Linked DNA regions of Arabidopsis thaliana. The protein of the gene in region 2 interacts with the protein of the main gene of each other region in a biochemical or structural test. Each region holds a gene or a part of one and is shown on either strand. Other genes may lie near its edges.

Region 1 (3,756 bases), 610 kb from region 2:
ACATGGTTGGTACGATTTTGTTCAACAAAAAACTGCACTGAAATTGTCGATTAGTTAATTTAAGTAGTAGAACAATAATAACTAATTTCATAGTACTTTTTAATCCATATCAAACGTTGTAAGAAATAAAATTCTAAAATAATTTTAAGCGTTTAGGGCGGTAAGATAATCTACCAAAATGCATTTGATGTTTTTGGTTGAATATTATTAAAACGGAGAAGACAAAAAAATGAGTGTGGTTGTACCTGTGTGGGGATAGAATTTTATCAGTCACCAAAAACATAAAAATGTACTAAAGAATATGCTAAAAGATACACAAGATTCGAAGAAGAGGTAAAAGTAGAGCTAAAAGACACGACTTTTCTGGGCTCTAAAATCTGTTAAAAAGCTTTCTTCTTTTTCTGTGCAATTTCGTACTTCTAAAAACATTCCTCCTACAAATCTTATATTTCCAAATCAACAAAATAAAATTAACTTATTCCCTGAAATATTAAAATCTAAAAAGTTAAAAAAAAAACCATAAACTTCTTCTTCTTCTTCACTCTAACTTTACCCATTCGTAACGTCCTTCTAATGGCTTCTCCTTCTCGAAATCGAAATTGTACCTAATTAAAAAAAAATAAACTCACTCTTAATTTTACCTCAAAATCAATTTTAAATTATGAATAAAAAATATATTATCTATAAAAATCAAACTCACAAAATAAAATAAAAACTTACTTCTTCTTGAATTTTTCTTTGAGTTGTTTCTCAGCTTCCACAAAAAAATCTTCAATTTCCGATTCCGTTGGCATCTCCGTCATCAATTTCGCCTTCTCCTCCTCCTCCGCCGTCACCGTCTCCTCCATCGTTTTCCTCCCGCTACAACAACAATCTAACGATTCTTTAACCGCCGATTCAAATTCCGATGAATAATTCTCCATGGATTTACTTAATTCTTCTTTCTCCTCCTCTCTCAGATTTTCAAAAAGCTTCCTCTTCGTACCCCTAAAATAACTCACAAGCAAGATTCTAAATTTATTGAAGAGAGAGTCAAATAAATAACCGGGAAAATAATAAAACCTTCAAAATTCAAATCATTTTCAGTTTTTTTTTTAACACTCACCGTCGATACGTCGACGTTTCAGTGTCACCATCTTTATCTTCCTCCTACAAAAATTTCAAAATTTCAAAAAAAAATACATTAACATTAAATGATACATATACAGTTACAAGAATCTAGAATCAACAACATTAAATAACCTCCAGATGTATTAATTCTTTCTTCTTATATTCATTGCTTCCACTACAAGACGACGAAACTCCATTATCACCGACGACGGAGACAGAGCTTGATTTTTCCGATCTAACATAAACAATTCTCCGGCTCCGTAGCTGCATATACGTTGACGAAACTCCAGCTTCTACAATTCCTTTAGCTTTTCTATATTTTCTCACCATCTTCGATTTAGGTTACGTGTGCGTGAAGTCACAATCTCTGTGAGAGAGAGAGATATGATTGAGAGGATGAGGAAGAAGAAGAAAGAAAGATGATGAATTTGGTTTTGAACGGTCAGGATTGAGTTTTGTGCTGTGTGTGATAGAGAAATGGCGTGTTTTAGTGGTCCCGTTACAGTGACGGGGAATCTTTAACGGGGAAACTGGAGGCGCCGTTATTTGGATGTTATGGAGTTACTTATGCCGATGGTTTGTTTTATTGACACGTGTCGGTTATAAACGGTGACTTAACGGAACGGGAGGCGTAATAATTGTGGTGTAACTAACTATTTTAAAAACCCTCTCATCTATTGGTAATTCACAGATTTGCCATTACGCGAAACCGTTTAAAATGTTTTAAATTATAATTGACAAGCTTTTTGTATAGTTGGGATGAATTTTATAGTTTAGGTAAAATTAGAAAGTTCATATTACTTTAAAATGAATTGGATAGAGACTATATATAGATTATGTGTATAGTATAGGTGGATTGTTACGGATAGCCTAAAAACTACGTACCTGTGAGTAAAATAAGGTAAAAGTAAAACTGACACTAGAAATTATATTTTTGTTATCCCTGCGTATTTGCTTAGCCTGATGTCAAGTTGTCAACAGCACGTGTCGATCGTGATATATTGGGCTTAATAAGTCATAATATAGTAAAGGTTTCTAAGAACTAAACTTGGCCTCCATCACTTCCCATGGGCCTTGTCAGCCTTTCTATGTTTTGTTTTTGTCTCAAAGCATGAACAAAATGGAGTGGCGAGTGCATTCAAATTACCATGTCTTGCTTTAAAAATTAAAAATATTTTTTTTTTCACTGAAAGATAAATATATACTTCATAATTTCCAACCAAACATACAAAAAAATGTGGATCAAGGACAATCATTCTAGATCAACCAGTATTACACTAGGCATTTTTTTCTTCCTCAAAAAGTTGTTTTAACCAAAAAGAAAACCTAGTTGCTACATACGATTAACGGCGATCATTTTTTGTTACGCTCTTGGCAATAAAGTGAGCATCAAGATTAGATCTCCTTAACTCACCAAGCAATTTTCAATCCAAAAAATTCCCTAGTTTCTCAATCAAAAGAAGGGACTGAAATTTACATGAAGGTCATGCAGACGACTTTTGTTTTAATTGAATAACATAAAACTTTTACTCACTTTACAAAAAAGTATGAATCTATAACCCTAGATTTATAAAGATATTAGAAAACTTTTTATAAATCTTAAATTAATAACAAAGAACTTTAATAAACTTTTTAAAAATCTTGATTGAATAACAAACGATTTTACATAATCGTTAAAGTTCTTTTAAAATCATAAACCAATAATACCCCCTAAATATTTAATTTATCTCCTCAAGTGTTGCGCCCATGTTATGTAAAATTTCATCCCTATAAATACATCAGATGGTCCAAGAGGTTTCATGCATCAATACATAATACATTTTCGCCTTCGACTAAATATTATAATTTAGCTTCTTTTTTTTTCTAATTCTCGTCTCGGTTTTTCTAGTAATGGCGACGATTAATGTTTACGTTTTTGCATTTATCTTTCTTTTGACTATTAGTGTTGGTTCAATTGAAGGCCGAAAACTCACCAAATTCACCGTAACGACGTCTGAGGAAATCAGAGCTGGTGGCTCTGTATTGTCGTCGTCACCTCCGACTGAGCCACTTGAGTCGCCGCCGAGCCACGGGGTTGATACCTTCAGACCTACGGAACCTGGTCATAGCCCCGGTATTGGACATTCCGTACATAATTAACGGAGAGGAACAATAGCATCGTCTATGTGATTACATGTTGAAAATATGATTGGCCTGGTGACTTTTTTTTTCTGAATATGTATTTACGTACAGTTTCGTCATATTCAGTTTCTTGCAAGTGTGATTGTAATAATATTTATTTGATTAAATTAAGATTGATGTAATCCATCTTATTTTAAAAGCACATACATTTTTTTATCAGGTTCCAATTTTCTCATATATTTTTCTATCGAGATGTGTCACTCGCTTGAACTAAGAAATTTTTCTATCGAGATATGTCATTCGCTTGAACTGAATCATACGTAACTCGATCTAATCACAAACCGATTTAGGAATAGAACTATAGAAGCAATTTCGATTACTTGTTTATGTCTTCAAAATCTGTACGTAGAACGAATAACTATCTTTGAAATAATTTGGTACAGATATTCCATATCTGCGTTTCAAAATTTGAGCCAGACATTATTTTGCATGGAGAAAAACCTAAAAGTTTGTATTACGTAATAT
Region 2 (3,756 bases):
TTTGTATTTGTTTATCACATTTGTTTGATAACATATTGGTTCATTGTCTCACTCGGTGGTTAGCAAACACTTGAAAGTGGATTATGTTCCAAGCTTTTATGTATCTCCAGTCTCAGTTGGATGTTTTGTTAATAAATAAAATATGGCTCTTGCACAATGGGCATGAAACAATCTAGTACTTTACTTGGACTTCAACTGTCGTTACTTATGCTTTGCTTTCCCATAGAAAAATACAGCATATATATATAGTAGAAGCCAAAACAGAGCATAAAGATCACCATTTAAACAAAGCATATTAATGATAATATGATGATTAAACATATAAAGTATCAAACATCATAACATCATCATTAGCATCAACGTATCTCTTTTCATCTACTTAACTAACGCTACATTGAACACCAAATCTCTTTGTTTTCTTCCCACTAAAACAATGAAAATAGTACCAAACATTGAAAATCATCTACTCAAATTAAGAGGCAAATCATATCACTAGCTTTTAATCAAAAGTAAAAGCATAATCTTACCATTATCATTATCATCATGATTATATTCCATACATATTTTTGTTAATCACTACACCAAAACTATGCATTTTAGTATAGTTAGAACAGGGAAATCGTCCATAGAGCTGAGGTTTGGCACATTTGAAAATCTTTATGTTTTGTAGCATTTTTACTAAGTTTTGCTACATTGAATGACAAGTTCAACCAAAAATATTTACCAAAAAAAAAAAAACAAGTTGCTGTTCAACCAAATTCCCAAAAGTAAAAGTGGCAACGGTTGCAAAATTATTCCATCACACGGAAACGCAGCGTTTTAATATTTCCCTTGAAGACAATATAATGCCGTCTTAAGTCACTATCTGAATAACAGAGACATCAGCCAGTGAAGTGGCTGTTGATCAACGTGGAACACGTGCACGATACTTCTTTTATTAGTCATTAGCCGACAGTGGTCTCATAGCTTTCCACGTGGTGTGTTTAGAGATCGAGTTGATATTTTCAATTATTTATACTCTCAGGTCGTTGACAAGGTCGTGTGTCTATCGGAAGTTTGCAAAAGCTCCGGTGACTTGTCAACAACTGCTCCGTCACGTTCCGTCGATTTCAATCGTCTTTACATCCACTTGAATAGTTTTCGTGCATACATTATAGTAACACTCTTCTTTAATTTGCATAATGTATTAAGAATATACGAATGGCTTTTGACAATTGATTTACAAATAAAGTTTTCTAATTAAGTCAACTCCAGATTATTATTAGTTCTTGTCAACGAATGATACCAGTATTATAATTGTTTGTGAAACCCGTTATGATTATAGAATCTACAAATAGGAAACTTACATCTAAATTTTTCTTTACCAAGGAAACCTGATAACTAGATTCATATTTTTTTTTTTGTCATAAGATATTATTAAGGACTTAAAAAAAATAATTCCGAGAGAAATTATTTACAAAAGTGATATATAACTTAAATTTACATTTCTTTTTAGATTAATCATAATTATATCATATTTTAGATCCACTTAAATAAAATACAGTAAATACGCTATTCGACAACTGTAATCACATTCGAAAATTTCACGGGTAGTCGAAACCAAATCATCTTTGATAATAAACAATAATATTTTTTTTTTTTAAACTAAAAATAATAACTATTTAAAAGCGATAAACAAAACTAATTTTTTTTAACAATGTTTTTAGCAAAAATTTTACACGAAAATCTCATAATACTAACACTAAAATGAAAAAAAAAAGAATATTCAAACAATACCATATTATTTTTGTGATTTTTTCTTTAGTTAGTGGTGATACTAACATTCTTTTAACTTTACCTTTAAATTGCTAAGTTTTACAGCACCTTTTTTTTTGTTATTTTTGATTAATCCAAATAACAGGAAATATCTTCAGTAAAACAAATCTCATAATGTTAACACTAAAAAAGAAAACAGAAGGAGAAAAATTAAAAAGCGTTGTTTACTTTTTGTAATTTTGTAATTTGATTTAAGAACACGTTAACATCTACTACGCCACGTGTCAAAATAAACGTAAGACCGTCCGCATCGTAAACTTTCCTCCTTCTCCTTCTATAAAAGTTACCAGACCAGACCGTCGATATAATACGTCATCAGCCACGTCATCGACACCGACACGTGTCGGTAAAAAACCCACACGCCACATGATCCATTGGCTCGTTCGGTGTTAGCCACCGGTCTTCTGATTCCTCTCTCTCTCTTTCTTCAATTCTTCTTCTCTGTTCCCCCAAAAATATTGGGCGCAAAATCTCTCTCTCTCTCTCTCTTCGAGGAAGAAGAAGAAAAAAAAAGAAGCGAAAAGTCTTCTCCTGTTTAATTTATTTGAAAAACCCTAGCACAAGTCCGCCGTCTTTGGTTTGAAGAATCTGGGTATTGATTGATTTTGGCTTCTGGGTTAATCGCTTTTCATGTCAATTTCTCCGGTGAGTTTCGAATTTTCCGTTCTGATTTTGGTGTTTTTTTCTTTCTAATTGATTGAAATTGAATAGCTTTCTCTTTTTGTTAATCCCTGTTCATCACATAAATTTGAAAGCTTTTTGATTCAAGTATTGATTTTTGGAAACTTATGCTACTTTTTTTTTTGTTCTTCTTCTCTTCACAGCTTTTCTGAATCATTTTCGAATTGTCTCTGATGAGGTCTCGTTGAATAGATACAGACTTTGGTTCTCTTGTAATTGGTTGTGTTGAAAGCGCGTTTGGTTCACAATCAATGCCATATGGCTGAAGACAGCCTACGGGTTGGTATGATTTCATCTGGTTTGGCTGTTTTACTGAATGGTGAAGATGCTAAAGAAAATTCCTCGAAAGCTCGTATTGTTCCACATTTTGATTATTCTGGTCACCGGCCTTTAGAACGGACTATCGAATTCATATTTGGTTTAGCAGAAAAGTCGGTTGGTCCATTGGATGGTCAAGTAGACAGTAGCTTGATTAGAGCTGTGATTAAGAATCAGTTCTCGAAGCTTCATGGTGATTTGGATGTTTCAGTTAGTCAGAGAGAAGGAATCAGTGTAGTTCATCATGGTGTTGGACCTCCTATTGTTGGCCTTGAAGAGTTTAGCATATGTGGTGATATCAGGATTGTGAAGCCACCTCTTGTATTGGAGAGCTTAGCACTTTTCAGTAGCGCCAGGGCTAATGCTTGTATTTGGAAAGGAAAATGGATGTATGAAGTCGCTTTAGAGACCTCGGGAATTCAACAACTTGGATGGGCAACACTTGCTTGCCCTTTCACTGACCAGAAAGGTGTGGGTGATGCTGATGATTCATATGCTTTTGATGGTCGAAGGGTAAGCAAATGGAACAAGGAAGCTGAACCTTATGGTCAATCATGGGTTGCTGGGGATGTCATCGGTTGCTGCATAGATTTGAACTGTGATGAGATTTACTTCTACAGGAATGGTGTCTCCCTCGGGGCTGCATTTACTGGTATTAGAAAACTTGGACCTGGATTTGGGTATTACCCTGCTATATCTCTCTCCCAAGGTGAGAGATGCGAGTTAAATTTCGGCGCTTACCCGTTTAAGTACCCTGTTGACGGTTTCCAACCTCTTCAAGAAGCTCCAACTCGATTTTCATTTGCAACAGAGCTACTACGATGCTTCTCAAGACTGCTGGATAGGCCAGACCGCTCATTGGCTGATACATTAAGTCGACTGAGGAGATTTGCCTCAGTCGAAGAACTCTTTTGCCCTGTTTCGTCTGCCATATGTGATGAG
Region 3 (3,756 bases), 4.5 Mb from region 2:
TAAGATCAAACCGATAATTAGCAGGAAAATGTTAATATATTCTGTATTAACTATTAACCCCCCATTTTTTTGTTGTTTCTAATCATCTACCTTCGTCCATTCAAACCGTCCTGGTAGTGGTTGTTCGTTCACAGGATCAAAGTTGTACCTGAAGAAAGAGTTGACAGAAACCATTAGAGACACAAGACCAAAAGAGAAGAACAGAACAAACTGGAAACTCATAACCAAAAGAACAGAACAGATGAAACGAGGAAACACATACTTCTCAATGAATTGCTTCTGTTGTTCTTCTTCAGCACCCGAGAAAAACTCGTCCATTTCAGGTGTAGTTGGTCGGCGACGATGGCTGCGTGACAAACTGTCTTCTCTCTGGTTGCTTTCACTTACACAAATGTTAAGCTTTGTAGACGATCCCGGGGTTGTCATGATTTCAGGCCTTCTTATCAAACTGCATGGTGTGGATTCCCTTGTGGTCCTGTTGAAGCTGAGAGTAAGTAATATGTTACTTTCATACAATGCTCTCAAGGAAAAAGCACATAACCGTGTTTCCTTAATTAGCAGCAAAAGCAAGCAAACTTTATTGCATATAGATAACTAAAACTAAGCAAGTCATGTTTAACTGAAAAAAGGACAAGGAGAAACTCCTTGTTGATTTGTGGTTCAAAGTTCACAAAGCATAAAACCAAAGAAGAAACTTCCAATGAAGATTACTTCAGCAATGCTTGAAAAGTTAATGACTCATACAATGTTCAACAAGATCACGACTTTAGACTGAAATCATAACATCAAAAAACAACCAAACAGCAAGAAAAATTAAAAGACAGAGAAACTAGAACTTAAGATGTTACAGAGACACATCATATACTTTGCAGAATCCCAAAAACGAACCAAACTTTAAAGAGTTACTTACAGAGACATTTCAAACACAAATCCAACATTCTTTACATGAAAGCAGATAAAAAGTCTGAAGAAAAAACAATAGTCACTATCACCTTCTTCAAAGTAATTGAAGAAAAAATAAAAACTTTCTCAAGAAAAAAGAAACACATTTTTGATTAATTATATATATTTTCTTTCCCGGAAACAGAGAGAAGAGTCTGGTGTTGTCAGATAAAGAAAAGATGGCATCATATCATACACATGGTAAAAATATCATTAAATTTCAAAATCGAAAACGCCAGTTTCAATTTTAACCAAATACAAGACAAAAAATTGATCCTTTTTTCAAATTAACAACGGAAATTTTCAAATCCAATACCAAAGTTTTCTCAAGAAACAGAACAAATTCACACAGATTCATAAAAATAAGAAATCCCCCAAAAAATTAGGTTGAAATTGATGAAGAAAGATGATACCTTTGAGTGTGTTCTTCTTCAAGGTCGAAGAAATTTTGGCCAAAGGTTGGATCTTTATTGATTTCAGAAATCAAATCCTTGTCTTTACCAAAGACAACACTTTCAGAAACAGAATCAGACCTAGACCCATCACCACGAATCGAATCCAAATTACTCCTAGGGTTAGGGTTTCTTCCGCATGTCTCATTCCTCCGTTGCTGTTTCCTCCGTTTAGTAGAACGAATCACAACAATTGGTGGTTTCTTCTGAAGCCGACGACTCCGTAGCTGAAGATACGAACCACAATCGTTCATCTGCTGCTGCTTCTTCTTCATCTTCTGCTTTGACGGTGGATTAGGAGAAGCAGAAGTCGGTGGTAACGAAGAAGGAGAAGAGGGTTTTTGAAGAAGACAGCGTTGTTGTTGTTGTTGAAGAGCTAGAGATTTAGCTCGAGTTAAAACACCAAGTGAAGAAGAGGAAGAAGGTGAAACAACATCCATTAAAGCAATAGAGGATTCACCTCCACCTCCGCCTCCACCTCCACCACCAGCTCCAGCTCCAGCTCCGTCGATTTTGCTCTTTCTTATGTATTTCCCCATTTTCCGTTAGCTTTTCATCAGAGAGAAAGAAAGAGAGATTGGGAGGTGTGAGAAAAATCGGAGTTAGGGTTGTGAAGATTAGTGCTCTTTGTGGGGTCTCTCTCTCTCTCTCTCTCTCTCTCTCTCTCTCTCTCTTTTTTTGTGTGTGTTATTTTTTTTTTCAGGTGGCTGCTTCTTCACTACTGTGAGTAATGTACTTTGCTATTTTTTCACTTTAGTTTTTAAAAAAAAAAAATATTTTAGAACTTGAGTGTAATAATTTCGATATTTATAAATAGAAATGATGACATATATTTTTATTTATAAATTTATTATTTTTTTCCACATTTATAAATTATATTTAAAATAAAAAAATTTGAGTTAGTTGGGTTCAAATATGTGTCACAGCGTTAGAAAAGATTGAACGGTTACACAACCTGAATTAATTCAAGGATCGTATTTTGCTCTACTTTTGTGTATTTTACTTACCTTAGGATAAAAAGTTTTAAATCTAGTTGAGGTAGAGATTGGACGAATTTGGAATGTCAACTTCTACTTCTCTACTAGGCTTATGATGTTTGACAATTTTATTTTTATTGTTTTCTGCGAATTGCTTGGATAATGTAGCATAAGATATTTAGCCTTTGTAATATTGAGAATATACTGATGAATCTAATGACTAGATTATATAAATTACAAGAGTTAGATGATTATGAAAGTTTAAGCAGTTTTGAGAATTGGGAAGGAGTAGGAGTATTTTATATCTTATAGTATTGTATAAAGGTTTGAGTAGGTATATATTATCGATTGAGAAACTAAAGATAACTTAAATTAATGATTCATTCAACCACTCAACTGTTACAAAAAATAAGTTCATGTTTAAGAAAAAAGTACATTTATTTTAGACCAAAAAAAAAAAAGTACATTTATTTTAGTTTTTCCAAGTTAGACGTGTTTGTAAATTGTAAACAAACACAAACGTAACCGTGCTTTTTACTTCTCCTTATGTTTCACATTTCCGTTTTCTATATATAATATCGAGTTTTTCTTTTTTTTTGAGTTGAAAGTTAAATTTATTCAAACCCAAAAAAACTATTTTTACAATAAATGTTACAGTGATGCTGAAACAAATAATTTTGAAAGAGAGGCAGAGTCATTCAAGAAAGATGCGGTTATATTAGAAGTTCAATAAGTAACCCAGAACAAAGACAATTTAAGCCTAAGCAGATAATAAACTCATCCTTAATCCTAAGTTTTAACGTACGAGTACTTTCAATGTGCATGCTTAGAGTTTTGTATTCATCTTAAACCAACTTAATGTATGCAGTGTCATTATAAGATATTCGTAAAGAGACCTTAAAAACAAGCGTTTGGCTGATTATAAGAAATTATTATTCAACAATGTAGTTGGTCTAGAGAAATTACTTACATCTCTCTTTCACTCTAAACACTAGAGATCAAAACAACGAAGTAAAGAAGTAGGATCATTAGACAAAGATTGGAAATATCACAAGTCTCTTTGCTTTTGACATAAACAAACCCAATTTAAAAAAAAAACCAACTTATTAATGTAACATTAAAAAAAAAAAAAAAATTAGACCCAAAAAAAGTCCTGAGCTCTCTGCTATTTCTTCTTTTTTCCTTTTCTTTTCAGACGAACATAGAAATATTTCTACTTCCAAATCTTTACGGATTTGTCATGACTTGCAGACGCAACCACTCCCGTCGAAGGCGACTGAGCCAAGGCAGAGATCACACACTCGTGGCCTGCTACCGTCATACATTTGTTCTCCATTGTGTTCCACAGCTCTATAGCCTGTCACAGATTCGTTTACCAAAGTTAA

What was found.
Region 1: the proteins of RKP (region 2) and ICK1 form a complex in vitro, tested with the Arabidopsis thaliana proteins (one study listed by BioGRID).
Region 3: the proteins of RKP (region 2) and AT2G32710 form a complex in vitro, tested with the Arabidopsis thaliana proteins (one study listed by BioGRID).

What each region holds. Positions count from the first base shown.
Region 1 is NC_003071.7:9,976,482-9,980,237, forward strand, and holds ICK1 (Cyclin-dependent kinase inhibitor family protein), read right to left. Parts: upstream 1,610-3,756; 5' UTR 1,441-1,609; coding exon 1,243-1,440; intron 1,150-1,242; coding exon 1,106-1,149; intron 988-1,105; coding exon 721-987; intron 606-720; coding exon 539-605; 3' UTR 109-538; downstream 1-108. Other genes in the region: AT2G23440 (uncharacterized protein), read left to right, coding at 3,001-3,249. UniProt on the Arabidopsis thaliana protein: Binds and inhibits CYCD2-1/CDKA-1 kinase complex activity. Regulates cell division which is crucial for plant growth, development and morphogenesis. Functions in turning cells from a mitotic to an endoreplicating cell cycle mode.
Region 2 is NC_003071.7:9,367,827-9,371,582, reverse strand, and holds the start of RKP (uncharacterized protein), read left to right. Parts: upstream 1-2,121; 5' UTR 2,122-2,460; intron 2,461-2,639; 5' UTR 2,640-2,754; coding exon 2,755-3,756. UniProt on the Arabidopsis thaliana protein: E3 ubiquitin-protein ligase that promotes the ubiquitination and proteasomal degradation of KRP1 and KRP2.
Region 3 is NC_003071.7:13,871,673-13,875,428, reverse strand, and holds the start of AT2G32710 (Cyclin-dependent kinase inhibitor family protein), read right to left. Parts: upstream 2,068-3,756; 5' UTR 1,934-2,067; coding exon 1,356-1,933; intron 485-1,355; coding exon 263-484; intron 149-262; coding exon 79-148; 3' UTR 1-78. Other genes in the region: LUH (LEUNIG-like protein), read right to left, coding at 3,585-3,728. UniProt on the Arabidopsis thaliana protein: Binds and inhibits CYCD2-1/CDKA-1 complex kinase activity. May target specifically CDKA-1.